Drosophila melanogaster: one gene and its partners. The protein of the gene in region 2 interacts with the protein of the main gene of each other region in a pairwise test. Each region holds a gene or a part of one and is shown on either strand. Other genes may lie near its edges.

Region 1 (7,717 bases), on a different chromosome or scaffold from region 2:
CAGCTGCTGAATCCATTTTCCCAGGACGGACGCGCCGCCTCGCCGAAACCCACTTTCTCGAAGGATCAGTATGGAAAACCACTGGCCGGCAGCCTTACAGAGATGCGTGGCCAGAAGGCCAACATCCACGTGATGAAGGAGATGCTGGAGCTCTGCCAGATCATCAATTCGGAGGGCTACGACGTCAAGGACGAGCCCACTATGCGTGTGATCCCCTTCGGCGAACTTTTTAATGTGAGTGTCCTGTTTACAGCTGGTATATTTTTCGAAAAGCCCTCTAAACTGGTCACTTCCACTCTACAGATCTATAACTACATATCCGACAAGGTGGTGGGCATCCTGCTGCGGGCCCGCAAACACAAGTTGGTAGACTTCGAGGGCGAGATGTTGTACCAGCGGAGGGACGATGACGTTCCCGTCTTTCTGCTGAAGCCCATCAAGGAAATACGCAGTGAGATGGAGGCCAAGATTGAAGACATCAAGAGGGCGGCTAGTCCAGCGCCTCCGCAGTCCACCTCGGTGCTGATGGATCGCAGTGCTCACGAACAAAAACTGAAGTCGAGGACTCCCTCGCCGGCTGTGGGCAAGTCCGCCAAGTCGAAGTCAGCGTCGCCGGCACCCAAGGCTCCTGTACCTGTTCCTGCGCCTGCTGCAGAAGTCACGCCTGTGGCTGGGCCCACAACTTCTGCAGAACCTGCTCCTGTGGCAGAGTCCACTATGGCAGCAGTTCCAGCTCCGTCTACAGAGCCCACACCGGCAACAGCTCCTGCTTCGAGTACCGTTGAGATCGAGCCAGCCAAGCCAGAGGTGACCGAACAGGCGCCCGTGGCTGTGATAGTCACAGAAGCACCATCCACAGAAGAAACCACACCAACCACCAGCGAACCGCAGGCGGAGGAAGCACCCGCTGCAGTTGCACCGGCAGGACCTGCTGATGACTTACCCACAATTGTGATTGAAGCCACCGCCGAGTTTGTACGCACCGTCAGCGTGGAGCAGCTGGCGCCCAGTCCCGGAACGGCCAGCGAGTCCTCGCCAGACCAGTCCCAATCCCAACCAGAGTCGACGCCCGCTTAAGGCGGAACAGGGAGCTTGTTAGCTGGGAAGGAAGGAAGGAACATCCCCTTAAATCGTTTAAAAGGAACTCTCGCAACTACTAAAGCGGCAGCTTTAAATTGCAGTAGTTTAGTTTACGGCGTACTTAGTTTAATTTACAATTAGAGCAACACAACACTGAAGACAGAATCGAGAGTAACTTTTTATTTATTATTATTACTTGTATATTATTAATGGACGACCAAAGGAGCCAGTTTCCTCAATTTGTTAACCATTACTCTATGGAAATGAACTACGGTTTCCCACTCACAAAAGTTGGGAACGTGCAAGGCAATAAAATACTAATAAAATAAATACACGTACATAGACACAATATAACCAAGTCCTGTTTTTCTAGTTTCAAAACGATTGGAAGTGCTGGTTTCATAACTAACTAAATGACTCATTGCCTAGGCAGTTTTATGTGCTCTTTCTCGTAGTTGTTCTCTGCTTTTAATCTTTAATTAAAAATTCGGCCGTTACTATATCAACTTTTCTTCGCGATAGTTATCGATAAGTATATCAATTGCAGGGCAGCAAAGCAAAGTTAAGAGGACGAGGCGTGGGTATCGATTAACGATACTTCGTAATTTCAAGCAGCTGATATCGATTGGACGACAGGGCTGGACCTCACAAATAAATATAAAACCAAAATATTCAGTGGTTTCTCAATTTGAAGAATAATACAAACGGAAAATGTCTGCCCTGCGCCGTGATGTGTCGCCTTTAATCCAGCGCATTCGGGCCTTCCTCCTGGGTGTGAGTATCCGACATTTGGACAGCGACCGCAGAGAACTCGGTTCTCAGTTATATAAGACGGAAAATGTGAATCTCTGATTAATCTGGACGCCAATTACAGCGGGAGCACAACCTGGCCCTGCGCTTCGAGGACGGACTGGCCGATCGCACCCAGCCACAGCCGGAAATCCCTGACGGTCCATCGCATCTACTCTCGGCCAACTACTACTGCCAGCGGGATGGACGTCGCGAGGTTCTGCCGCCCATCGACCTGGTGGAGCAGCAGAAGCAGCTGGCGGCAGAGGGGGAAGCGGCGAAGGCCCCGTCTTCCAAGCTGCCCACTCCCGGCAAGGTCTATGCCTGGGATTAATGGGCCGCATCACCGCGGGAATCGCCTTTTTTTGAGTTGTAGTACGAGCCGGTTAAAGCTAATATAGAATCAAATTGAAGCAGAAATGCGTGCATTGGTATGTTCAGTGATGAAGGGCCAAGTGAAAGGCCCCTTACCAGCCCACAATGTTTCGAAACCCCACTTCCGGGAAAAATCACCATCCATTTTTTTTTGAGTTGTAGTACGAGCCGGTTAAAGCTAATATAGAATCAAATTGAAGCAGGAATGCGGGCATTGGTATGTCCAGTTATGGGGGGCCAAGTGAGAACCCCTTACCAGTCCACATTATTTCCAAATCACACTCGCCGGAAAAAACACCATCCATCACTGGATATCATTATGTACAAGTATTTTATTCAAATATTTACAGAGCCCATCACTTACAACTAGTTAAAAAAAAAAAATCACAATCCAGGAACACCTAATAGACGCGCGGCTTGAGGCCACAATTGATTCCGGTGGTCGAGCGCAGGATAACGTTCAGTACGGGCTGGACTTCTTCGCCCAGAGGCAGCAACTCAAAGTGTCTCACCATTTTGCTGATGGTGCTCTTCATCTCGAGCATTGCGAACTTTTGGCCGATGCAGTTTCTCGGACCCGCTGAGAAGGGAGTATAGGCGAATGGACTGATCTCGCCCTTGCGCTCCATGCTGAAACGATCAGGGATGAACTTCTCCGGATCAGGGAAGTAGTCTGGATCGCGCTGAGCATGGTAAATAAGAATGATCACATTCGAGTCGGCGGGTATCAATTTGCCGTCGAGTACGGTGTCCTGGGAAATGTAGCGTCCAATGATCGGCACCGAGGGAAACAGGCGCAGAGACTCCTTTATCACGCACTCTAAGTACTTGAGCTCGCCGAGTAGCTTCATAGTAACTGGAGCCGACTTGTCATCACCGATAACATCTCTGACCTCCTGGAAGACGCGAGCCTGAACCTCAGGATGTCGAGCCAGCAAATAACAGGTAAAAGCAATGCTACTGGTCGTAGTGTCATGACCCTCGAACATGAAGGTGTCTACCTCCTCGCGGATGTCGTCGTTGCTCAACGGAGCCCCATCGATGGTGGACTTCAGCAGCACATCAAGAAGAGCCATACGACGCTTCTGGCCCACATCGTTCAAGAGGGCAGCGTCGGCATCTCCTCCATCGGCAATGGCTTTTTGTAGGAGCTCGCGTCGCTCAGTGATTACCGAGTTGGTAAAGTCGTGCATGTTCTTCACGGCATCATTCAGCTTGTCTAGCAATTTGGGATAGAAGAGCTTCATGGTGAAATCCAAGCGCTGCAAGGGATTCATGAAGCGTTCGGCTAACATTGCAGAGGCACTAAAAAGATGTGCTCATATGGAATAAAGTCCGCCGATAGTTAATATAGGTTATAATACTTACGTTGTGACCGACTGAACGTAGGTAAATTGCGGCTGGAGCTGAGCATTAATTTTTACACCCATGGCCGTTTCCGCAATGATATCCATGGCACACAAGCAAGCCACCGGGAACATGTTTATCACCGTCTTGCCGTCTGCCCGATCGTAAAGCTTCTGGACCATAGTTGCGCTCTGTTGGTCAAAGACCTCCACAAAGTCCTCGAGGATCTTAAAGTGGAATGCGGGTGTAATGATCTTCCTGCGGCGGAACCACTTCTTTCCTTGGCTAATGAGCAGTCCATCGCCGAGCCAATTTACCAGCAGACTATAAAGATTGTTTTTTTGAATGGTCTGTTGGCTGCTCATGATCGCCTCGATCATTTTGGAATCAGCGGTCATGAAGCCACTTTCGCCCAACATCTGCGTTTTTATGTTTTTACCAAACTCAGCAATCAGTCGGAACTGCATATCAAAGATAGCTGCAAGAGAAGAGGGTTGATATTTGTTTAGCCATCTTGTGATTTTAAAAACAACGATTTTAAGATCAAACTGTTTCCAAAACTGAACTGTGAAAGAACGCAGTCTTGGGAATATGTTCTGTTGTAACTGTGTGATTAGCGTACATGACTTACTCTTGGGTGACTCGTTAATCAACAAGGGAGCGTTTCCAACCAGAGGATAGCTCTTGGGTCCTCGTATCCCAGCCTCGGCGTACATCTTGTTGTGCCGCCTCTTTCGCATATAATCCCACGCCAAAGCGGTCGCCAGGAGAATCGCAAAGAGCTCTAGATACATGTTTTTTGGGTTTCGGTTTTCCGGGTTGGTAATGGGATGGATCTATTAACACTGGCACCGTTGGCCATCGACTGCTTGTTTTTCCTCGTCGGTGGGGCTGTTTTGTAGCCGGCGTGGTTTGCGATAAGGCGTCCACAATCAGTGGAATGAAGCCGAAAACCAATGCGAAGGCCAAAAACTATGACCGAGGTCAAAACCAGGCGGTGTGTCGTCCGTGGGCTCTCCTTGCCTCCAACTGCCATGTCAGTTAGATTTCTAAGCAGGTTATGTGATCTGCATGAGGATCTTGGAGATCCGTTGGCGCACATTCTGCGATGAACGAAAACGGAAAAAGTGCCTCTTCATCGTGACCCAAGGCTTTGGGCCGATCGGAAGTTCAGATTGATAAGGCCCACACAGGTGGGCGGTTGCGGGATTTAGGCGGGGCCTGGGAAAGTTCGCATGGCGCTATCTGTATATTGATACATGAACCACTCTGGTTCTGCTGATTAGATCGAACGCTTTTGTTGGACTTTTGGAACTAAAAAAGGAAATATTTAAATAGATAATAAGCCCACAAATTTAATAGACTCTGGAAATTATGCTGAGATAATTGTTTATTATTATTGATTTCAAATTGATCTTCTAAATTCGATTCTACTTACAAGCTGAAAACTATGCAGCACAATATGCACAGCATTAAACTGCCGTTGATCCCAGCTCTCTTAAATCTACAAAGTTAGATGGAAAACTCAGAGCATCGCTGGGAAGCTGTTCCATCCATAACAGGTCAAACTAGAAAAATCTATATAGTGTACCTCTCGAACCGACAAGCGGGTACAAATGTGATTGATATTAAACTTGTACACATAATATCTGAGTTATTATATCAAATCGATGGTTTCATTGATGACTTCAACTAACTATTTATTCAAATTGTTAACAGATATTTTGAGTTGATATCTTTATGGCTTGTCCACTGCAGTATGAGATCCAATGTTTACCTCCAATCTAAGGGTAAGCATGACGAGTGAAATTGATAAGGGCTCTCAACTGCCTGGTAATCATTACTAAGCAAATTCTTAAACTTGCACTCTTTTTAATAGTATATAAGTGGGGGCAATGAATCTGGGAACGTGAATCACAAATTTACGATATCTTCGATAGGCTAGTTCACCTTCACCTTCACCTTTGACACTGTTCGCTTAGTGATAAGAGGATATGGATTTAGCTACTGTTATTCAGTAAATAAACGGGCATATGTACAATTCATGATGATAAATTGGAAATAGCAGGGTATATCACTTAAATACCCCTTTCAAATGTTCTGATAGAACTTGTTTACAAGTTCCCAATTTACCATATAATGAAAACGGGCTAGCTCCAATTCGTTATACCACCCACGATGGTTAGGCATTAGCTTAAATTACCCAACTAAGCATTACCTCTCAACAAAATGATTGTGCGTCATCGTGACAAGGCTATAAACTCCATTCGTAAATGGTTCGTCCGATTTTCTTACCTCCAGCTGCCCGCTGCAGAATGCAGATTACCTGAGGCGGTTTAGTTCTCTTAGACAGCAGACTCTCTTACAGCTTTCAGCTTTCAGCTAGCGTATTAGTATTCAGATTACGAAGCTTATATTATTTATAGTATCGTTCAGTAGAACGGCGTTTCTCGTTCGACGCACAATGCTGGGTGTTGTTGGGGTGCTCCTCCTGGTGGCGTTCGCCACACTGCTGCTGTGGGATTTCCTCTGGCGCAGGCGGGGCAATGGTATATTGCCGGGTCCGCGGCCACTTCCCTTCCTGGGCAACCTGCTCATGTATCGCGGTCTAGATCCTGAACGTGAGTTTGAGTTCCAGCCCATCGATACAGTTTGTTATCTGGCCAAATCTATTGCAATCCATAATCATTCCCAATAATAATCTGCAGAAATAATGGACTTTGTCAAGAAGAACCAGCGCAAGTACGGTCGCCTTTACAGGGTGTGGATTCTCCACCAGTTGGCCGTCTTCTCCACGGATCCCCGAGACATTGAGTTCGTCTTGAGCAGCCAGCAGCATATAACCAAGAATAATCTGTACAAGCTACTTAACTGCTGGCTGGGCGATGGATTGCTGATGAGCACGGGCAGGAAGTGGCATGGACGCAGAAAGATCATCACGCCCACCTTCCACTTCAAGATTTTGGAACAGTTCGTCGAGATATTCGACCAACAAAGCGCCGTAATGGTGGAGCAGCTTCAGTCGCGCGCCGACGGCATGACTCCCATTAACATCTTTCCGGTGATTTGTCTCACTGCCCTGGATATAATCGCAGGTGAGTTTGCCATTAGTCTTATAAATATTTATAACAGCTTAATACTCGCCGTTTAGAAACTGCAATGGGCACAAAAATCAATGCCCAAAAAAATCCCAATCTGCCCTATGTCCAGGCTGTCAATGAGTGAGTGTAATGATAGGTCGAATCCCCACAGTTCTGATGAATTCTTCCTTGTGACAGTGTCACCAACATCTTGATTAAACGTTTTATCCACGCTTGGCAGCGGGTGGACTGGATTTTCCGGCTAACGCAGCCAACAGAAGCTAAACGCCAGGACAAAGCTATCAAGGTAATGCACGACTTTACCGAGAACATTATCCGTGAGCGGCGTGAAACGCTGGTTAACAACTCGAAGGAAACAACCCCAGAAGAGGAAGTTAATTTCTTGGGCCAAAAGCGACGGATGGCTCTGCTGGATGTGCTGCTGCAGTCCACAATCGATGGCGCCCCGTTGAGCGATGAGGATATCCGCGAAGAGGTTGACACGTTTATGTTCGAGGGCCATGACACGACTACCTCGGCGATTTCATTCTGTTTATATGAAATCTCAAGGCATCCGGAGGTCCAACAGCGTCTGCAGCAGGAGATCCGCGACGTCCTCGGCGAGGATCGAAAGAGCCCAGTTACCCTTCGTGATCTTGGTGAGCTGAAGTTTATGGAGAACGTAATTAAGGAGTCGCTGCGCCTGCACCCGCCAGTGCCCATGATCGGTCGCTGGTTCGCCGAGGATGTGGAAATACGTAAGAAGTTCCATATGAGATTCTTCAATCTCAGGTAAACATATTGCTCTTGTCAGGTGGCAAGCATATTCCAGCAGGCACCAACTTTACGATGGGCATCTTTGTTCTTCTTCGTGATCCTGAGTACTTCGAGTCTCCCGATGAGTTCCGACCTGAAAGATTCGATGCGGATGTCCCGCAGATTCATCCGTATGCGTACATTCCTTTCTCCGCTGGACCAAGAAACTGTATCGGCCAGAAGTTTGCCATGCTGGAAATGAAGAGCACCGTCAGCAAGCTGCTCCGGCA
Region 2 (2,776 bases):
TTTTTCATACATATTCAGGTTTATAGTGTTTATATGTAAGGTGTTTGTAGGTTCTTTATTGAGGCAAATATATATAAAAGAAAAAAAATAAATAAATAAGGTACATTTTGAACTTCACTATAAACAAAAGTCAACACGTCCTTAGTCTCTTAAATATGAATTCGACTTTAAAATCGAATAGTATTTGCAATCCACATCAGAAATAAAGTTCTCTTAATTCAGACTAACAAAAAAGATTGATGTTCTTATATATGCATTCACATAAGTTCGACATGGAAGAAAAAATAATCGGAAAATTGCCAAAGCTTCTTCCTTTTCAAAAAGTGTTCTGCATTTGTGTGGGTATAAACGTGTCCTTGTGAGTGTCTGCACTCATGCATAGAAATAAGCCGATAAAACCCTGACAATTGTGTCATGGAGTAGCGTTTTAGTTTTGGGATTGGACTTAATGCCTCTTGACTTCAATTTGCATAGTCGGCTTAGCAACGTTCGTGCAATGATTGAATGACAAATTGATAGAATTCGGCATTTACCAGTTGACAGCTAAGGAAGAGCTTTTTCCGGTCGGAGGAAACGGAAGAAAAGTTAAACCGATGATGGAGATTTCAGTTCAAATTCTGTTTGAGCATGATTTAATTATCGTGCCGGTTAAAAAGGACTTTTCATTTGCCTACAACAATGTTCACAACGAGTTGCGCCTTTTTAATTATAAAAATCAAAATTCATGAAAAGCTCTTAGAATATAGAGATATGATCTTTTAGTGTTTAAATCTCTTGAATGCGAGTATAACATAATATATATATAAATAGGCTTTTCATCATCACATATAGATGATTTAATCCTTCTTCTCCAACAAAATTTTAAGCCATTCCCAACAAAGTTGTTAAATTGTTAACAAAGCGAACATTTTCACTCAAAAAACGCCCCTATCGCATTGACTCTGACCTAGACCGCAAGCCGTTTAGATCCCGCAGGACTTCCCATTAATCCAATTAGGGCTGAACATATTTGCTTCTCATTAAAAATGAAATCCTTTGCTTTGGACCGGAATCAAGAGCTTTGACCAATTACCAAGCGTTTTTTCATTTACGTTCGCACATTCGAAATAAAAAATTAACCAGGAAGGTCGCAGATAAAGGCATTGACAGAGCAGCTTAGAAATCTCTTTGTCAGCAACTTAAATGAAAATTAAGACATCTGCTTTCATTTAGCTTAAGTGCTTATCTTGCGAAGGACGCAAAGGCAAAGGACACGTTTGCCCACAGGACAATCAATTATGAATGCAACACCGAGCACCATCAGCTTGGCAAAATAGTCTGTAATAAAAGTTAGGTTCATGAGGAGTGCGATGCTTTTGGGCGGCTAATGATGATAATTATATGTTTTAAGTGACATTGATTTGTCGCCTTCAGGATGGGCCGGGAAATTCCCATGATGTTTAATTCATTAGCCAGCTAATCGGCTTACTCTGATAATTAATATAATTGATGTCAGTCATCTTATTGTAGCGCCACCCAAGCAGGCTACTCATTCCCAGTTGCCTCTGTGTCATTTCTATGGATCTAAAATAGGTTTCCCAGTACTATTGACGCCCTGAAAGTAATCAGATATTCACACATAAAATAAATTCAAATAAAATCTGTATATTTTGTACGCTCACAATGAACATGAGGGGAATGGCCAAGCGTTCTATTTGGCTGCAATGTCTTCGGGAAAATGCCACCAATATGCGCCTGGAGCACGAGGATCTGGGACGTCGCATTGCTGTTTCTTTGGCCAGTTCCCAGAAAGCTCTAGTTGATATCGAAAACTTGAATCAAGAGCTGTTAAAAATGAAGGACACAATCCATAATGCCATTTCCAATGTTATGGGCTACGAAAAGAAGTGTTGTGAATTGCTCCTGGAAATTTTGATTAAAATAGTTGAGAACAACGACCTGGATGCCGAACTAAATCCCAAAATGATCTCCAAGGCGTTTCTCGACTTGGATCCGAGTTCCGACGAGACAGAAGTTCTGAATGACCGTAGTCTTGCAGCGTCTGATTTTAATCAGCAATATCCAAAAGATGTGCCGGATTCTATTGATATAAACATAACAGAAGACCAGTAACCATTTTAAATAGGATCCAAGACCGCACCAATTCGATTACTAACGTCTTAATTTAATGCGTTGTCAATTCCACCTCACACATTTAAAAGGAATAATAAGGTGGTCAGGGCTACAAATGTTTTATATTTTTTATCGATTCAATTAAATTTGCATGGTGAAATGACAAAACCCATTGTCTCTTTCTTCAGTTTATAGTTGTGGGAAAGTTTCTAAGACGTTCGAAATGTTAAAACCCTTGAAACGAAAAAACTTAGGATGACCATAAAAATACAAAATTATGAACAGAAAGAAAAGAGAAAAGCACGCCAACATCCGCACAAATTGTCCTGCAGAAAAGTCAAGACAAAATCACGTATACGCACTGTGACAACCCACAGCCTGGGTTAAAGACAATCCCAACTGGTAATCCAAGTCGTGTGCGTAGCCAGCATCCATGTTCCTAAACAATTTGTCGGCGATTTGTCGGCAAACTTGAGCCATATACGCCACACATACGCACCGAGTGAGCCATATTGCACATACGCCCCGTGTGACCCACAGAGGAATACAAAGAGTAACGAGGTTAAGTGACCCAACCAGCAAAACAACCTGTTGACTCAGGCTCTCTGCTCTCTCACTCAAAGCAAACTCACTCATCGGTGGGTTTGTTTTGCTCCGCTCTTTC
Region 3 (9,679 bases), on a different chromosome or scaffold from region 2:
GGATGCGGAAGAAGCCACGCCACCTAACTACGATCCGGAGACGCAGCGTTTGATCCAGCAGGCCAATGAGGCGCGAAATGCTCTCGAGGAAGTGGAGCGCAGCCTGCGCGAGATTCAGCAGGAGGTTAACGAGATCGACGACCAGAACAACAAGGGCTACGGCCTGACCGAGGAGTGGGCCGTGCACGATGGCCAGTGCTACAATTTCGAAGATCGGGAGTATGTGTACACCCTTTGTCCCTTCGATCGGGCCTCCCAGAAGTCGAGGAGCGGTGGGCCTGAAACCACGCTGGGTCGCTGGGACAAATGGAGTGGAGAGCCAAAGCAATATTCCCAACAAAAGTACACCAATGGTGCTGCCTGCTGGAATGGTCCAAACCGTTCGGCCATCATCAACATTAGTTGTGCCCTGGAACCCAAAATCACTGCCGTCAGCGAGCCCAATCGCTGTGAATACTACTTTGAATTCGAAACTCCCGCCGCCTGCGACAGCGAAGCTTTCCAGTCCGAATCGGAGAATCTGCACGACGAACTCTGAAATGTTCAACAATCGACGATGAGGATGAGCCGCAGAGAAATGTGAATGCTTGGCATGCGTAGACCAGAGATTTGGGGATTGTATTTTAGTTTTAAAGGAGAATATCAATTTTGTCGAGATCATTCCCAAACTGCAGCAGGAAAACCATCAAGAATTGTAGCTAATTAACTCAGTATATGCATTTAAGCAAAAAGTACATCAAGTTTCATTCTGAATAAAGTGTAAACACCTAGTATTTTTAAAACAGATAACATCACTGAATGAAAATGTTGATTTAAAGTCGGTTTCCTTGAGCTCAAACATACAAATATTTTACTTTCGTGATACTTGAGCACAGACGATTTCAAGGTATAGGGAAAAGTATATTATAATTGAGAAACTATATGAAGAAATTTAATTGAATGTACACATTTTAGGCAGCAAGAATTTTTCATTTTAAATAAAGTGTCAATAGTTTGCATATTTGATATTGTTGCCAAAACGGAGGACTCGGAACTTTGTTCATCTTTGAGATCACCCTTCGCAGGATATGAAATAAATTCCCGGAATAGTACAATGGTGAGTTGAGATTTTTAAAAACTCATTCTGTTCTCAATAAAGTATGTATGTATAAACATTTAGTAAATATTAAAAATATGCATATTACAAGGTAGACTAACTTTAGGCCTCGGTGACAGCCTGTTTAATGTCCTCCAAATAGCCATCGACCTGGTGCTCCAGTGCGAGAATGTGTCCCGTGTTACAGTTCTCCGCGCCCACAAAGGTCAGGATGAGCGGCAGCTTGTTCATCTGGACCACCTGGTAATTGGAGTACATGGAGATGATGGTCTTGTTTCTGCCCAATCCCAGTTTGCTGGCCTGATCGCAGGCGGTGGTGAATGTGGGTATGAACGAGGGCATCAGGGCGAAGTCCACGTTCTTCTCCTGGCTAACCCGCAGGAGGGGCACTCCGTCGCGATCCGTAATCTGAATAACGTACAGCCCGCTGACCCTTTTGTGTAAATCGGGGAATGGGGGAAAAATTATAAGTTAATCATATTGGGAACAGCCTTTCCTGTGGAATATTTACTTTTGCAGCAGGCCGTCTAAATACTTCTTGATGTCGTCCGACATGGAAAATTTGTTAAAGCGAAAGACTAGAGAAGGTATGGCAATAATAATACGTTTTTCTCCGCATCCAATTATTTACACAAAACAAAGTGAGCAACAGCTGCCTCAAGTTATCGATAAGTTCATGTGGCAGGGGCGTAGTCGGCGGTCGAAGTAAAATATTTTCAGCAAGCGGAAAAAGGATGCGGCTAGTTTTTAACATTATTATTTAAATATTATATTATTAAGCTATCACGCAATACTTTATATAGTTTTTTAGAAACCCCTTCAAAAAATTCAATCCCCGCTCAACTGGAAATTTATCGATTACAGCCTGTTTTTGGTTGCGTGGAAAAACAGTTTGTTTGCAATACGTAAAATTGCTGCAAGTAATGGAAATAAAAGTGTAATACCAGCTTATAATTCGTATTACCATAGATTAAAACCTTCTGCATCATGGTGACTGGAGACCCGGTAGCGACAAAGACCCCAAACGCAGCGGATTCGGATGATAATGACTTTACCGCATCCATGTCGCACCTGACCATTGGCCAGCAAATCCAGGAGCTGTCCAAGCAACTGCAGAACACGAAGGAGGAGCTGCACCAGCAGGTGCGCGACAAGCACGGAGCTCTACTGCAGCAGGCCACCCACGCTGGGCGCTTCGATGCGGCTTTAAACGCGCTCGCCGAGGATGTGCAGCGGGTCAGGGAAACTGGGCACCGGCTGAAGAACCAGGTGGACACGCAGTACCAGCAGGTGGAGAACCAAACGCAAGTGCTAGGGCGTCTGCACGATGTCAGTCACCTACTCCGCTCGGCTGGAACATTGCTGAGCCTCACGGCCAAACTAAAAGCGACCAAGGATGTCCTACGCCTGGCCGAAATCCACTTTGAGTTGGGCCAACTCATCGAAGATAAGGAGCTAAAGGACATTGATTTTATCCAGCAGGAGCGAGCTTATGTGATCAGCTCTGCTCAGAAGATAAGGAACCTCACGCAGATGCAGTTGGTCACTGGGCTCCAGGAGCGCAATGAAAACCAAGTGGTTAATGCCTTGAAGGTGGATATAACAAACATTTTTCTAGCATATACCTAAGAGTTCTTATTCCTTAGATCTTTATGAATTTCAATACGCTGGAAAAATCGCTGGATAACCTATTGGCCACCTTTATTGCCGACATGGAGCAATCTCTGAAAGAGTGCTTTGCTGGCAACGATATATCTGTGCTGAACAAGTCCCCGACGCACAATGTGAGCAAACCTGCTCCCTCGAGGGGACCAGGAAAAACTCCCCAGTTGACAACCACTCAAAACTTCCGTGCCAAGTTCTGGAAGTCTCTTCATTGGCTGCTCTATGATGAACTTTTTGAGACTTGCACGCAAATCAAGCTGCTGAAAACGGCTCTCGAGCAGATCAACCAGTTTGGCTATACATCAGAATCATCGGATCAGTGCATTCCGCAGCGTTTTTGGCAGCAGGTGCAGCAGCTCCTGCGAAAATCCTTTGACGAATGCCCCCAGCATGTTACGCAGACCCTTCAGGAGGGGCTCTCAAAGCTCCTGACCTCCGCTCGTGGCTTGGAGCAGCGTCTGCATGGCGAGTTTCAGTTTGACAACGAACTATTTGCTCCCCTGGAAGTGGGTTACGTTAGCAAGTGTGCTGCCAACTTTAAGGCATGTCTGGCGGGAGTCGATTTGCCCGGCAACGAAACGGTGGACAACTTTATTCGTGTGGCATCAACGGAGCTCAGTGCTGCTTTGATCGATTCCCGTCTCACGAATGCCATAGCAAATGTATTTGCGGCCTGTGGAAAAGAGTTGTGCACAAAACTAGAGGCTCAAATCAAGCTGGGAGCTGATTCCAAGCAGGTCGTGGATCTGCCCAATCTGCAGCAGCAGCAAAACACCCAGCTGGCGAATGTTCTGTTCTACTATAAGGATTCAGTGCGTCGCATGCTCAGTGATCTTCATGTGCACTTTGAAAAGACACCGGGAACAGCTAGGGAGATTATATCCCGATCCTTGGAACAGGCTGATTTACTGATCGGCACCATTCTACAGCAGATAATGGAGTCGATTATCACGACCATTAGCATCATTGTATTGAGTATGCACAGGGAGCCGGGATTGAATTCGGAGAGGATGTCTACCACAGGTCCGTCGATGTACATGAAGGAACTGCAGGTGGGTGGGAATTTGAATGTAATACTTGGCTAGTCATATGTCTCAATCAAACTATTAGGAGTTCGTCAACCGATCCTGGTCGCATCACATCGCCCTGTTCGATGACAAGCAGATGACGAAAAAGTGCGGACACGAGTTGGCCAAACGTTGCATTGAGCTCTTCCTGCACAATGTGTGCATTCTGCGACCTTTAAGCTCCTGCGGAAGGCAGCGTTTGAAGCAAGACTGTCAACACATGGAACAGGCGTTGAAACCTCTTTGCCCAAATCTCGCCGAGCTGGGAAAGCCGTCGCGTCTGCTAAGAGCCATGTCCTTGCTGATCGTCCAAACGGCCGAGGAGCTGGTCAAGCAGACAATCGGCGAGGACTCTCTAGTGCCCAGTTACATAGTGCTGTTGCTGCTCTTCGGACACGCTGGAGCAGATCTGCAGTCGCCACACACGACGGCCAACTGGTCCAATGAGCGGCTGATCGAATGGCTGGATGGGCACACGGCTGAACGGGAGAAACTAGAGCTGATCTCGGGGGCACTGCAACGGTATCGGGACAATGCCAGGCGAAAGAACATTCAGCAGTACGACGAAGTTTACCCCATGATGGTAGATTATTTTGAACAGGCCTTAAAGGCACTTCCATAAATGTCTAATGTATTATGTATCTAGAACTATGTATGTATGTATGTAAGAGCACGAATATGTTTGGAATAAACATATGCATGGCATCCTTCTATTAAATCATTGTACTCAGTTCCTTCCGCTAAATGAAGCTAATGAGTTTCTTAGAATAACTTATTGAGTGGAATAATGATAGCAGTGAGAACTTGAGGCTAGAGGCTTAAAATTGAAATTATGCGAGGTTGTGTCATATTGTCATTTGATTAAATTAATTTTGGTAGGCAGTTTTGGCTGGCGCTATATGAATAAATGGAATTCCATGGTTAATATAAATGATACTGGTACTTACTCAAAAGACACATTTTGGAAGATGTTTCGTATTAAAAGAATAATTCTTACTTATTCGTCATTAACATTAAGAGGATTTCAAATAAAAATATATCACTACATCGTTTGGAAATAGTTCCTCCGGAATATCGGTATTTATATATTTTTCACATTTATATCGATTTGAAATAGGCATTCAAAACAACGGTAGTAATAACTTTTTTAAACTATCGATGCGTATTCAGAATAACGGTACTAATAACTTGTTCTAACTATCGATGTGTATTCTGAATAACGGTAGTACAAATTTTTCCCAACGGTATATCGATATCCATCTGGGTTTTTACTGTCTCGAGATCTGGTCACTCCCCCGTGCTCACCATTTTGTTTGCAACGTGAAAAACTCTCATTTGAGAAACGCTGTCATCCAATTTAACTGCAACGAAAACTGTGTAAAGTAAACTATAGACGCTTGAAACCTCTGCAAATATAGTGCGTACCACTGGCCAAGAAGATGGACAACATAGAGCGACTGTACAAATGCTACGAGATTCTGTCCGAGGCGGGCGATAAAATATCCGAAGTATGCCGCCATTGCAAAACGTGCCGAAAAAAAAACGGTATATGATACATGGTCTAATATATATATGCATGTTTTTTTCGAATTGCAGCATGTGGATGAATATAAAGAGATACTCAAGGCCGTGAAGGGCACGTCGAAGGAGAAGCGCCTGGCATCGCAGTTCATTGGTAACTTCTTCAAACACTTTCCGGATTTGGCCGACACAGCCATAGACGCGCAGTTTGATTTGTGCGAGGATGACGACACACAGGTGAGTGGGTGCCATAAAGTTACCCAGCTGATACAATAGGCTCGGAATTTTTGGCCTGTATGCAGCTGATGTGTGTAAATAAATCGAAATCCCCTGTAATCCTGCTCCGTATCTTGACAGCTTAAGATATCCCACATATTCCACAAACTAAATATCTTTATCATCCTTGTAGATCCGCCGCCAGGCCATCAAAGATCTGCCGAAACTGTGCCAGGGAAACGCAGATGCTACCATCCGAGTGGGTGATACTCTGGCCCAGCTGTTAATCCTGGACGATCCCACAGAACTCCAGCAGGTCAACAACTCACTGCTGGCCATCATAAAATTGGACACCAAGAGCTCCATCGCCGGATTGTTTCAGCAAATCTCCACTGGGGATGAAACGACAAGGGAGCGCTGCCTCAAGTTCATTGCCACCAAGCTGCTGACCATGGGTCCCACAGTTATTACCAAGGAAATCGAGGACTATATCGTGGAGGAGATCAAAAAGGCTTTGCAGGATGTCACTGCCGATGAGTTTCATCTGTGCATGACAATTCTGGGAGCCACCAAACTGGGAAGCACCATCACGGGACACGCCGAGCTCGTCAAGCTGGCCACGGAGCAGGCGGAGCTAAATAACACAGACGCGGACATCATAGCCGTCGACGACGAGGTGGTGGAGCGATTCATTCAGTGCGCCTCTGCTGCGGCTCCTTACTTTTCGGTAAGTTTCCAATAGCTGCACATGAAATCGAACCCCTGGCGAGCATTTAAATCGAATCTCTTGCCATTCCTATAGAAAACCATCAAATCCACGGCCTTCGTGGCTCACGTTTGCGATAAACTGTTGCCCATCAAGACCTGGAACATGATCGCCACTGCAGTTTCGCAAGATCAAATCCAACTTAGATTACTAAAGGTATTCGCCGAGATGATAACCAACACAGACAAGCTGGACAATGCCAGCGAACGGATTAATGCAGTCTACAATGTATTGCTGGTAAGTGTACTTGGTACATTCGAAATTGAGCGAATAACATGTAAACAATTTCCAGGAATACATGCCTTTGCCAAAGCTGAGTGACGAGGATCTGGGAGATACACCGCCCTCGTTTCAGTTTTCGCACGCCGAGTGCTTACTGTACGCATTGCACACTCTTGGAAAAAATCATCCAAATAGTTTAAGTTTCGTCGAGGATGCAGAGAAACTAAAAGACTTTCGAGCTAGATTGCAATATCTTGCAAGGGGAACACAGGGGTAGGTTCTTGCAAAAATTTTATTCTGTTTACATAATTTATTTTATAATACTTGCCTTGTAGTTATATTAAGAAACTGGAGGAGTCGCTCAAAGGCAAGACGGGAGAGGAGCTCAAAACGGAGGAGAACCAACTGAAGCAGACGGCACTGAAGACGACATCAAACATCAACATTCTGATCCGGGATCTATTTCATTCACCGCCCATATTCAAACATGACATTGTGCTCTCCTGGATTGTGCCAAAAAATGTAAGCACACAAGTTATCTCTTACAGCTGATATATTTATAAACAATGCAATATTCTTGTGCGTTCAGAACAAGCTGGGCAAGCGTCATGCACCCATCACTTTTGGGGAGAAAGCCGCTGCTAACGGCAAGGATAAGGATCAGGAGCCAGAGAAGAAATCGCGGCCATCCAACGATCAGAAGTTTTACTCGCCGCCATCTGGAAAATACTCCAACAAGGTCAACCAGAGCTACGGAAACAACAATCGCACGAGACAACGTGGCGGCGGCGGCGGTGGCGGCAGCGGTGGAGGCTACAGAAACAGGCGATTCAACAAGTACTAAGTAAAGAATCAATCGTGAGGCAGAAGAGCAGCAAAGAACACTTCACTTGAATGGTTTGTCCCTAGTCCGTAGACATACAAAAAAAAAAAAAACAAAAACAAGATATTGGATGCGAGCAGAATAAACACAACTGTTGCGATGCTGCAGCCAAGCAATTTTAAAGGAAACAAAACGAAAGTGGTGAGTATTCCGTGCAATTTTCATTTAACTTTCTCCCCTTTGTCTCCTTTCAGCGCAACATATTTTCATGGAAATTAAATGCAACATTTTTACATCCATTTTACTCATACACTCACGCATTGCTTTTATTATTTTCGTTATAACATTTGTTTTCGCTAAAGTACTTGTGCAATTTTCCAAAACACGCCACGCCTTCTTTTCATACATTTCCCAAAAGAAAGGCGCTGGCATTGTTTGAAATTTATATCACTCCTGTTTTTACCTTCAATTCTGTCAAACGCATAAATATAAGATTATACCAATAACCAAGTGAACGAATATCAATATAAAACCTACTTTCAAGTTGACCGCTTTGAAGATAATGATTTTCAAGCGACAAACTGTTTGCGACAGATCGGCATTTGTTTTAAACCCATTAGTTTTTATTTGACATGTAATATCAAATTAACAATTGTACCATTTAGAGATGCAAATCAGCAAAAAAAAAACCCCTAGCATACATTTCTTGAATTCAATAAAAGCAACATTAAATTACATGCACTGTGTGATATACTTGTTTAATTTTGTTAACGACGGGCAACTAGAAAAATATATGAGGCATTATAATATATATATTTAATATTCATTGAAAATTCGATTGGAACAGCGGCAATTTGCACGGTCATTTATTTATTTCCATTGGATAAAAATGTATATGTATGTATGTATGTATGCGTAATAGAAGCCATTTAAACATTATAAATACATTTATAGTTTCAGCTTAACAACTTAATCTGTGTGCCGCCGATCCAGGCAGGGATCGGGGATCGGGATTCTATCCACTTCTAGGTGCTCGGTGGTGGCTGATTGCCCGGCTGCTGTTCATTGCCAGGATTTGCGTTCGAATTGGGAAAGCCAGTCAATTGGCTGGTCATGTTATAGATCATTTGCACCATGTCATTGGGCAGGGTCGGGGCATTGCCGCCGCCGAACTGCTGGCGAATGGTGTTCATGATCATTGGATTCTGAAGCATCGACAGCAGCTGCTCCACGTCGATCTCGGCGTTGTTGAACAAATTCCTAACCATTGGCTGGGACAGCATGTTGATTAGGTCTTCCCTTAATCGCCCCGTTTGGGGCGGCTGGTTCCTGGCGTTTCTGGCCGCTTCCAGGTTGCTCTTGTACACCTCGTTGTCCGGTTCCAGCTCGATGGCCTTGGCGTAGGCCTGTTCCGCCTTCTCGAAATTGCCCATGTTGGAGTACGCCACGCCCAGGCGGCAGTACGCCTTGCTGTAGTTGTTGTTGTACACCAGGGCGGACTTGCAATCGGTTACGGCGCGTTCGTTCTCACCCAGCCGGATGTGGGCCGCAGCCCGATTGCAGTAGAAGATCGGATTCTTGGGATCGAAGGCGATGGCACGATTGTACTGCAGCAGTGCTTCATTGTACTTGTTCTCCTTCATCAGCCGGTTGCCCTCGTTCTTGATGGATTCGGCCAGGGCCAGGGATTCCGGATTGCGTTCTGTATACAGCGACTGGAAGAGCTCGAACATGTCAATGTTATTGGGAACGGCGGCGGCGGCGGCGCCGATACCAGCACTTCCGCTGGCCACCGCATCATCGTCCGGTGCGCTCGCAGTGCTGCTGCTCTGTGTGGTGGCCTGCTCCTCACCAGCCGCAGCCGGCGCTGCCTCCACATCATCGCCCAAGTCAAAGGCCGCCTGCAGGCACTGGATCGCCACCTCGATGCTTTCGGTCTGGTCCGGCGACATCACGTCCCCCTGCTTCTTCAGGTAGTCAATGAAGCTACGCACGAAACTCTGCTGCACTGCGTCCGGCATTTTGGTTATGCTTTAGATTTCTGTTCGCTTAATTTCGATCGACAGACAAGTTGAAAAGTAAATGTGATTAGGCGAAATGTGAATATAAAATCGAGTATCGATGTGCTACATGGCCCGATAACTTTTGAGACATATATCGAACATTCTGATAGTATGGGAAATGCTGACGCTGTTTACAAACTTTGGTTTCAGCTTAAATTATATTTATATTATATATTTTTATATAAAAATAAATCTGTTGCTTCAAGCATTTTAAATAAAATCATACCCTTAGTAGTGGAA
Region 4 (9,246 bases), on a different chromosome or scaffold from region 2:
CTTTTGCTGCCACACTATAAATATAACATTAATTTTTATGTTTTCATATTTAGCAACGCTTCGCTGGGCAGACAAACACACACACACATAGTCGAATACCCCGAAGCAGTAGCGCCCATAAAGATATGGCCATTGAATGACGTTTATGAGCGATAACGCTGACGTCGCCGCTGCGCAACACTCACTGTTAAGCGGTTAGCAGTGGCTTAACAGCGCTTTTCCAGCAGCATCCACAACTGTTTCGTTTGGTGGGAAAACCTCTGCTAATGCGCCGCGGTCGCTGCGACTGCGACGCCGGCTGTGGCAGAGGCTGCTGCGTCGGCGACTTCTATTGTCATTTGGCACATGTGAAATTTACCGTTACTTCTTCGCTCATTCATTCGCTGTTTACATTCGGATTCGAAGACTTTTTCCAATCGCGCGCGACTTTCGAAAATATATTCCATTTGAATTTTCGATAACATCCGCGCCACTGTTACTTCCATACGATCATAGAAAAATATATTTGCTTGTTAAAATTTTCACAAAGTATTTAAAAAGTGAGAATATATGTAAAAATGTTGAAAAACTATTTCTAAAATTCTTATCTAAGAAAAAAAGCATGTAAAAAGAAACGCGTGGAAAACTTTTCGTTTCTACCTAATGCGTTTGACGTTTTTTTAATCAAACTCACTGCACTATGTTAATTAGCCAAATATGGTAATAGGTAATTAAAGCAACCCCCTATGGGGTGATGTGATTGGAAATGGTAAAGAGACAGACACTTCATATCCACTACACAAAAAAAACCAACGACGAACTTTCAGAACCGCGTCGATAGTCGAGTGGATCGGAACCAACAAAGTGTTAAGAAATAAAATAATGAAGATACAATGCATAATATGAACTGTGAAGTGCAAGGACCACACAAAGTGTTCATAACGCAAACAAAATAATAATCAGTGTATATCAGTGCAAACAATACTAACGAATTCCCTGGAAAATCGCAGCAAAGTTCAATTAGACCTACCACAAATGAGGTGTAGACGCCACCGAGTTGAGATCTTCAGACATTGTCTATACGTAGACCAAATCGAGACTTTTGCCATAACAACAGCAAACATTGGGTCATGTAATTCCCAACTGCTCGTATAATGCCCTGGTGTTGAAAGTGTAGAAAGGGCGTATGGAATTTGGGCTTAATTTGATAAAGACTTAAGTCAGAATTTCCGCTTTGGAATTACTCGATCAATGCACTTAAAATATTAATTTAGTTCAAGTGGAACTACAGTCTTACCTAATTATCATGAATTTTCAATAAATACGACAACTTTTATGATCGTTTATTTCTAAAACTAATTAGTTTTTTATGTTGCGATGGTTATTAATATTTCTGCTCGCTTAATTCGATTTTTTTAAAATATTTCTTATATTTAAATTATATAGCCAAGGGACTCCTGTTTCGGTATCCGAAAATAGCGATTACAGTCAGGCCACTTAAAGATTAAAGAACACTGATCATTATCTGGCCAAGCGATAGTTGATAGATGGGCTGGCCCTTCACGCCTGCCAAAACCACAATAGACACATATGTATGTATTGGTGTATATATATATGTACATATGTTTTCCTAAACTCACACTCGACAAAACTTGAACACACGGCACGGGGCTGCAGGGCGATAAAATGCAGTGTCAATTGAAGTGCTTGATTAGGCGATTTGCGAGCGATTCGCCAGCGATTTCCAACGCCTGCAATTAGAGACGGCGGCGCACTGCAAAATATACAGAATGGTTGGCAGGGGCGTTGGTTTGGTGGGGGTTTTCCGACGGCTCTGTCATTCACAAGCATCGCGGGGTGGTGCTTGAAAAATGATTTACACGCGCAAATCATAAATTATGCCCATTTCAAGTGGACCGTTACGCCGGAGAATCCATGACAAATGCAGATGACGCCCAAGCACCGATGACGATGGTGATTGCAATGCAATCTAATGGCTGATATGATGGTGATTGTGATTGCGGGTTTGATTGAGATTTCCATTGGTACTGGGATGCTGCTAGTGCCGATAATTGTTTTGAAGATGACGCATTTTAAATGACTGACCCTAACCGAACCCATTGTCCGCTGGCTGCGATTTTTCACCGCCTCTTATCATCGACGTCAGTCAACGCAACTCTAACCAAGCCAAAAGCCAATGAAATCAAATCCACGACACTCCAGTTCAATTTCGAATTTCACACCACTTTCAATCGGACCCACACCTGGTTTGATTGAAAGCGGCGACACTTTCAATGCTAATGAGCTGCGATTCCGTTTACCAATCGCCGAAAGGCATTTCAGTTCGCATCGGTCTTCGCTGGGCATCACACCGTAAAACCTTCCGGGTCCCAAAAAAAAATCAAAAGAATTAAGTATATTCAAAATACCTATTTGATACCTGGATATAGTTTCGGTGGGCCCATGCAGAACGTCACGACTGTCGTACGATTATCGGCACAATTCTCACGTCCGGTTGTCCAGCTTAATTAAAAAATATCTTTGTTTTTCGCACTGATAAACGCGGTGGCAACGCAAAAAGGAAGTCTAGATACATACAGTCTGAAAAACGTATTTTCGTACAGTACGATGTTTAAAAGTGATCTCTGTGTGCTGATTGTGATCTCCTTGGCGTTTTCCTTACATTCAGGTTGGTACTGTAGAAAATAGGATTTTTTCCGAGGTCTGAAACTGCTCTTAATTCGGAGCCCTTAACCACTTATTTTTAATTAGACTTTAATATCAGATTGAATAATTGGCTGACCAATTACATGTACATCTAAGTACACTTTGTGCGATTACCCTATATAACCTTTGTTGGTTCGCAAACATCATTCTCAAGTTAGCACTTGAGTCCTTCTTTTTCTTTCTCAGGGGATATTTGCCCAACTTGAGTATAAAATAACAAAACGTATTTTTAAATTAAAGTGGATTCTTGGCATTACGACAAGATAATTATCACTACTTATTCAATATATTTCCACGGAATTCTGTCTAGTTGTGAAATCAGTCGCAATATTCCGAAAGTAGTATGATCCCTTATCATAAAAAATACTTTAATTTCTAAGGCGTAGGTTTATAACTTAAGAAATGATTGATCGATTCTTAATAGCTGGGATTCGTTAGCATGTTGCTTTTGTTTTTTAAATAAATTATCTCAGTTGAAGAAGCATTTAAAATTCTTGTAGTTTTTAAACAATGCTTCTGTAATAGTTGTATCTATAGATCGCCCAACGATTCCTTGCCCAATCTATCCATTCACATCAACGTACGCTCCATTGATCACTGATCAACTGGTTTGCCTTAAGAGCACCTTGTACGTTAGTAATCTTTTGGGGAGCTAAGAGTGGAATACAGCATCGATTAAATTCAGAGAGTGCTCCGATCTGCCAGATCACTCTTTATGTATCTCTTCGACGGGGTCTGGTCAGTTTCTTGTCAGTTTTGATAAGGCCACCTTAAGACGGTGCAAAAACAAGCACAATCGCAAACGACAGTTACTCTCGGCTCTCGAATTAAAATCGCTGGCGATTCGCTTAAATTTGCAGGCCAATTCTCTAAGCGAATTCAGTTGAAAAAGGCGCGTTGTGCGAAACGGGCATCACAGTTTTTTGCGGTTTATTTTCAACTTAAAAACCAAATAAAAAACACAAAAGAAACAAACAAAGCGAAATAAAAACAAACCTCATGTAATTCAAACATTCTACAGATTTAAATGCAATGATCTGTTTCTGAAATAAATTTGGAAAGACGCGATTAGCACGTGCCGCACATTCGCAGACACCTTGAAAATACCGCAAAAATAAATCAAAATAAAAGGCAAAACTGATAAGAGTTTATTTATCCGGGCGATTTGACGCGTGCTAGCTACAAATATCGGCAACAACAATATTTAATTAATTTATTTGCGCGATCGGAGGGGGCGTGGCCGTCCGCTCAACTAAATTTTAAATTATACTTCGGCTTTATTAATTGCCAACGTCAACAGAAACGTTTTTGTTTCTCTATAAAAATTAAGGGAAAACTTGTTTTTCTTGCTAATATACAATTATTATCAAATATTTTACTTATCGTTTATAATTTCCATATTTTACTCAAAATAAATGTTATTTCTCGTTAAGTACATATATAATTATTTTCAAAGTTTAATATATAAATGAATTTTCTGTGTAATTTTATGCGTTGCTTTTTTTCTCTCTTCGCATTTTTCGGTGATTTTGTTGTTGTCCGATATTTTTGCTTAAATTTTTTTTTTTCGGCCTTTTCGGTTTTTGTATTTTTTTTTAGCTACGTCGCGTTTTTGTGTGTCGCACGATTTTCAACCAGTTTCTTCAGTCTTCTCATCTCGAAATAAGAAATGTGAAGAGAGACGAAAGTAAAAGAGAATTGGCCGGATCGTGTGTTTATTTTATTTTTTGGCTGGCAAGCGATTCTTCCAATGTTTTTGCGTTAATGCTTGCGTTTATTTTTACGTTGACGCTGGTTCTTTTGGCCATTTCTCTGATTAGATAATCTCTGGCGAAGATCTCACGCTTCCTGCTTAGATAATCTATTCAACCAGGGTCACCAGAAATCACCCCACTTAATTTTCCCCTATCGAATACAGTGTCTATACAAACCTTGTAAGATCGAAGTGATAAAAGTGTGAAAAAAGCATTAAACAGACAGCATAAATTAAAGCAAAAGAAGAGTGAAGGCAAGCAAAATACCGTACCATGGCCATAGAGTCACGCTCTACGAGCACTGCAAGTGAAACCACAAAAACCGCCATAAAATCAACCACAAGCTCAAAATCTCCAGTAACATTCGGTAATCTCGGCGAGAAAAGACGCGCCGAACAGCTGTTCCGCTGCGCATGCGCCAACTTCAATCTCCTGCTCCTGACTTTAATGCTCGGATTCGGCAAATGCTGCACTGCCACGCCCACGCCGCTGAACACGCCCTCAACGAACACGCCCACCTCGGCAGTTAGCCCACATAATCCACAAACGCTGGACGAGAGCGGATCGCTGAGCAAGGTGATCGATGGCAAAGCCTTCATCAACATGGGATTCAAGTTCCTCAACGTTTCCGGAAAGATTGGCACACCCCTCGGCATAGGTGAGAAATGCATTGGCTGATTGAAAAAACCGGCGAAAATAGCGAAAAACCAGAAAAAAAGATCGCACAAGGGGGGGCACAAAGTGCGATGTTTGTTTATAGCCTAGCTTGTGCTAATTTTAGACCACAGATGTCGTCGAGGTTGAAGTCGAAAATGAAGTTTGGATACCCTGGCTTGGGGTATATATAAAATGATTCATTTAATCTTTTCAACTTGATGCCTATTTACAAATATGTAAAATGAAAAAAAATTTGTATTAATAACTGCGTTGTAGAACAAAGTAAAGTACTTAGCTTGAGCTGATAACTTAAAATTAAAGCGCGTGCAATCGAATTACAATTTAATCGTTAAAGAATTATCAACCAATGCTAAGAAGCTTTTCATTAAACTTTATTAAGCTGATAGTGTTTGAGTATTTAGTTATTAAATTATCCCCAAGCCATTGAGCAATGTAAACGATTATTTCAAAATATTACATTATCTTCGCAACTCCAAGCAATCCTCTTTGAATGGAAAGTAAGCAGTTTTGACTTATATGAGTCAATAATAACATTTAAGATATATGGCCTTTCCATTATACTGCTTAATTTATAATCATCACAATCTTGGTCACAAGGGTATCACCTGCATGTCGAGTCATTCAAATGGCTTTGCTCACTTCACACTTCGTGCACTTAAAATGGGCTCAGTTAAAAAGATACAGATACAAGCACTAATGCAGTTGCAGATACAGATACAAAAGTGCACCTTCCACTTGTTGCACACACACAGACGGTATGCGGACCTACTGTTACCGTGGTATCGAAATAGCCGAGAATTTTTTATCCACTTCCGCATTGATTTCCGCCTGGCTGACCATCGAGAATCTGTATCTTCTAATGGCTAAGCGATAGGAAAAGCGTTTGGCGTCTATCTGTGACGTTATTTTGTGGCGCGGGGCATTCCAATCATAAATCTAACTTTAAATCTAGCCACCTGTTTTGGCCAATATGGATTTACGTTTAGTGCTAGCCCCGAACTGGGGATTATCTTATCGGTCAATTTTACGATTTGTTTTTATGCATTTTTCGACCGCCGGGATTTCGCGACTTGAAGATAAGTGGACAATAAAGGGCAGTCAGACAATAGAAATTTCCTTCTATAAATCAAGAATTAATGGATTGATAGTGCAAGGAGCTTTGAATTGGTGCCATAAGTCATTCAAATGATCTTGAAAACATATAGATAAAAGAATATGAAGTGTGAAAACTACGATTGTTATAAATTAATATTTAATTTTTAAGACGTATTAGAGCAGTTATCCTAACCAAAATAATTTATTTTTATTGTTCACACATTTTGGTTTGAAACTATTTTTAAATAGCTAAATTTTTTAAGCAGTTCGCACTTTTGAAAATCAATCAACATATTGAGTGCCAAAAAATAGTCTTAAGGCTAAATCTGCCACATTTACTTGCATTTTTGTACTTTGCTCTTGGGAATCTTGGACTTTGCTCTATATATTATAAATTGTTGACAAAAAAAAACACACATTTTCTTAAACATCTCACAAAAAAACAAGGCGCATTTCAGAGATATTTGTATCAGAAATTGACGTAGTTCAGAAAATCGGTGCGCCATCCTACTGCGATGCCTAATTTAAATTTAAATATAATTTTTTTTTTTTTGGCTTTTCAGTATGCAGTGTACTAGGAAAATTCACATAAATATAGACCGAGTCGAGCCCCCAATTCTCAGTCGATTTGCGTTGTAATGCTGCCCATCAAGGGGCATTATCTCTTTGATATTCTCTTTTTCCCTGCTGACTTATTGTTAATTCCATTTGATTTTTCACGCTTGAAAGTTGCTGTCAGATAAATTAACATATGCTTGATATGATATATGTACATATGTATGTTTGTTTGTGCATATGTATATGTTCGCATCTATATGCGATGTGGCAAGGTCGCCGAAGAGAGGCAGAAGTTGATTCAATTTTTATTCGTACGCCCCATTTCGATTCAGTTTTTAATTTATTCGCTGTGCCAACAGATTTCTCTAGCATATAGAACTAGCTGGTGCCAGAACCGATGGCAAACAAACAATAACAAATTAATAGTGGGCGTGCTCATCTTACGTAGAGAGAATGTTGATGCAGTTTAATTGTTTTGTTTGCTTACTGTAAACATGTTTTGATTGATTCAACTATTCTTGGGAAATTGTTGATGCATCAAATCATTCTCTATACGGGCCGCATCCCCCAGGAATCACGTGTTTTGTCATTCCATGTATAACATTAAATTCATTCAGGCAATTATCAATTATCAGGTAATCCATTAACCTTGATTTTGACGCAATCGGGGCGCTGAGTTTATCAAAGGCTGTGCTCCCAGTTGAATTAATATTAATTAGTGTTAAATCGGGGAAAAAGAAAATAATGAACTGATTTCGTTTTTTTCCCAGCAATTAACACCTTGCTCAACCAATATAGTCATATCAGTTTTTCCCACAGTTATGATTACTTCTTAGTCTAATATGACCATGTGATAAGGGCTTATCAGCAATTTTTTGGCACGCTGTGTCTATTGCTTTTTATTTTTGTTTTTGTTATATACTAAAAAATAATCGTATGATGATGACAACTTGCAGTTTCTGATTTTCGAGCGGCGAAGTGAAGTTTATTGGGTTAAGCCAACCGGATTGTGTGTGGACTTGTTTTCGCCTCTACGATTAACAAAATCATTAGCTATGCTAAGCAGTTTGCCTATCGATATGGTTTATTTATTCATAGTCTCGTATTGTGTGTGAAGTTTGGCCGAAGTTGGCGGCAGACAGGCTGTTGTTGCCCATAATGGTGATATTGATCTGGTTTTTCGATCTGTGGGGTGTGTCCGCCTCATTACGGAAACTCGGTAATCAATAACCACCGACTGGTTCAATTTAGTCAAACTCAATAGGTTTAGATTGTGACAAGAAAGCAAAGGAACTTAATTGATAGGTGGCAACCGGCTGGAAAATCTATTAGTGGGTTAATTGATGTGCAAACTGACGGTTTAAATCACTTTTCAAGGATGTTTTCTGAATTCATCTTGAGTTTTCTAGCAAAGTTTAGCAAAATTCTTCCAAGAAAAACCCTTATCAATCTCAAGCTATGCTAATTTATTTAAAGGCGCGTTCAGGGTCACAATTTATAAGTACTTATTTCTGTTTGCCTATTTCTACTCGTAGAACCTCCATATTATTATTTTTTCATTATCCTATTCAAAATCCTTCTGTGAGCCGCAAGCTAATATTTATTTTTGTACTTTTTCATTCAAACACCCGCCGCATAAGGCAAAGGAACTCATTCATCGTCATGCTTGACGTCATTTGGAATTATTTCAACGAAATTCCCCCATCTGCCCCATAAATACATATATGCATGCATTTGCTCGAATTATAATTTGCCATTTTGTTGACTGTCATCATGTATAATTGAAAACAATTCCCGACCAGCCAGCGCGGCGACATGAAATCGAATTGATTTGACCTTATTGATTGACGGCTGCAAATCGGAGATATCCCATTGTTTATTTTGCCACACGCACGGCTCCACTTCAATATTGCCTCCTTCATTATTATCGCTTTTTGCTGGCCCTCTGTTTGTTCAATGGCAATCTATTAAATTCATTTTTTTCATGTGTCACATTTTGTTTTACGTTCTTACACTAAGAAAATGAAGAAATAGTCCACCAAAAAGGCATAAGTCAATTTAAAAAAATAATGAAATAAAATTTATCCTAAGTATTATATACTTATATGAACGCTTTCCCATTATTAATTTTTTTTTTGAGCTACATATTACATTATAATAAACATTCGCTATTTTTCTCTGTGTAAAACTGTTGACATTCCTTGGGTTTTCTGGCCGTCTGTCTGATGGCTTGTTTCGTTCCGAATATGTGTATTGCATATTTTCAAGGGCTCCTATGTTTTGGATTTTCCGGGGAGGAGGCAAAAAACTTTGTGATCCATTTTGTTTGAGGCTTTTCTGTTGATTAAAAGCTCCACAGCCATTTCCCTCCATTTTATCGTTTAGTATGCAAATTACTTGTCACACTCACACATATGTAGGCAAGCGGATATATATCTGTCTGTGTCTGCAGCTG

Evidence for each region.
Region 1: the proteins of CG13476 (region 2) and ND-B14.5A interact in a two-hybrid assay, tested with the Drosophila melanogaster proteins (one large-scale study listed by BioGRID).
Region 3: the proteins of CG13476 (region 2) and fws interact in a two-hybrid assay, tested with the Drosophila melanogaster proteins (one large-scale study listed by BioGRID).
Region 4: the proteins of CG13476 (region 2) and LpR1 interact in a two-hybrid assay, tested with the Drosophila melanogaster proteins (one large-scale study listed by BioGRID).

What each region holds. Positions count from the first base shown.
Region 1 is NC_004354.4:2,170,852-2,178,568, forward strand, and holds ND-B14.5A (NADH dehydrogenase (ubiquinone) B14.5 A subunit), read left to right. Parts: upstream 1-1,674; 5' UTR 1,675-1,791; coding exon 1,792-1,854; intron 1,855-1,954; coding exon 1,955-2,203; 3' UTR 2,204-2,581; downstream 2,582-7,717. Other genes in the region: CG3630 (uncharacterized protein), read left to right, coding at 1-234, 304-1,077; Cyp4d14 (cytochrome P450 4d14), read right to left, coding at 2,646-3,549, 3,613-4,069, 4,214-4,385; Cyp4d2 (cytochrome P450 4d2), read left to right, coding at 6,056-6,212, 6,300-6,686, 6,743-6,812, 6,870-7,429, 7,486-7,717.
Region 2 is NT_037436.4:14,703,882-14,706,657, forward strand, and holds CG13476 (uncharacterized protein), read left to right. Parts: upstream 1-1,582; 5' UTR 1,583-1,662; coding exon 1,663-2,112; 3' UTR 2,113-2,276; downstream 2,277-2,776.
Region 3 is NT_033779.5:17,473,306-17,482,984, reverse strand, and holds fws (four way stop), read left to right. Parts: upstream 1-1,955; 5' UTR 1,956-2,016; exon of another isoform or gene 2,017-2,065; 5' UTR 2,066-2,083; coding exon 2,084-2,689; intron 2,690-2,742; coding exon 2,743-3,813; intron 3,814-3,871; coding exon 3,872-4,450; 3' UTR 4,451-4,543; downstream 4,544-9,679. Other genes in the region: GCS2beta (glucosidase 2 beta subunit), read left to right, coding at 1-538; Lamtor3 (late endosomal/lysosomal adaptor, MAPK and MTOR activator 3), read right to left, coding at 1,199-1,529, 1,608-1,651; cass (cassowary), read left to right, coding at 5,268-5,336, 5,425-5,586, 5,759-6,292, 6,368-6,568, 6,624-6,826, 6,889-7,075, 7,143-7,397; Sgt (small glutamine-rich tetratricopeptide containing protein), read right to left, coding at 8,402-9,397. UniProt on the Drosophila melanogaster protein: Required for normal Golgi function and necessary during spermatogenesis. Required for cleavage furrow ingression during cytokinesis in dividing spermatocytes and for the extensive polarized cell growth that accompanies spermatid elongation.
Region 4 is NT_033777.3:25,754,664-25,763,909, reverse strand, and holds the start of LpR1 (lipophorin receptor 1), read left to right. Parts: upstream 1-3,587; 5' UTR 3,588-3,707; intron 3,708-4,624; 5' UTR 4,625-4,733; coding exon 4,734-5,118; intron 5,119-9,246.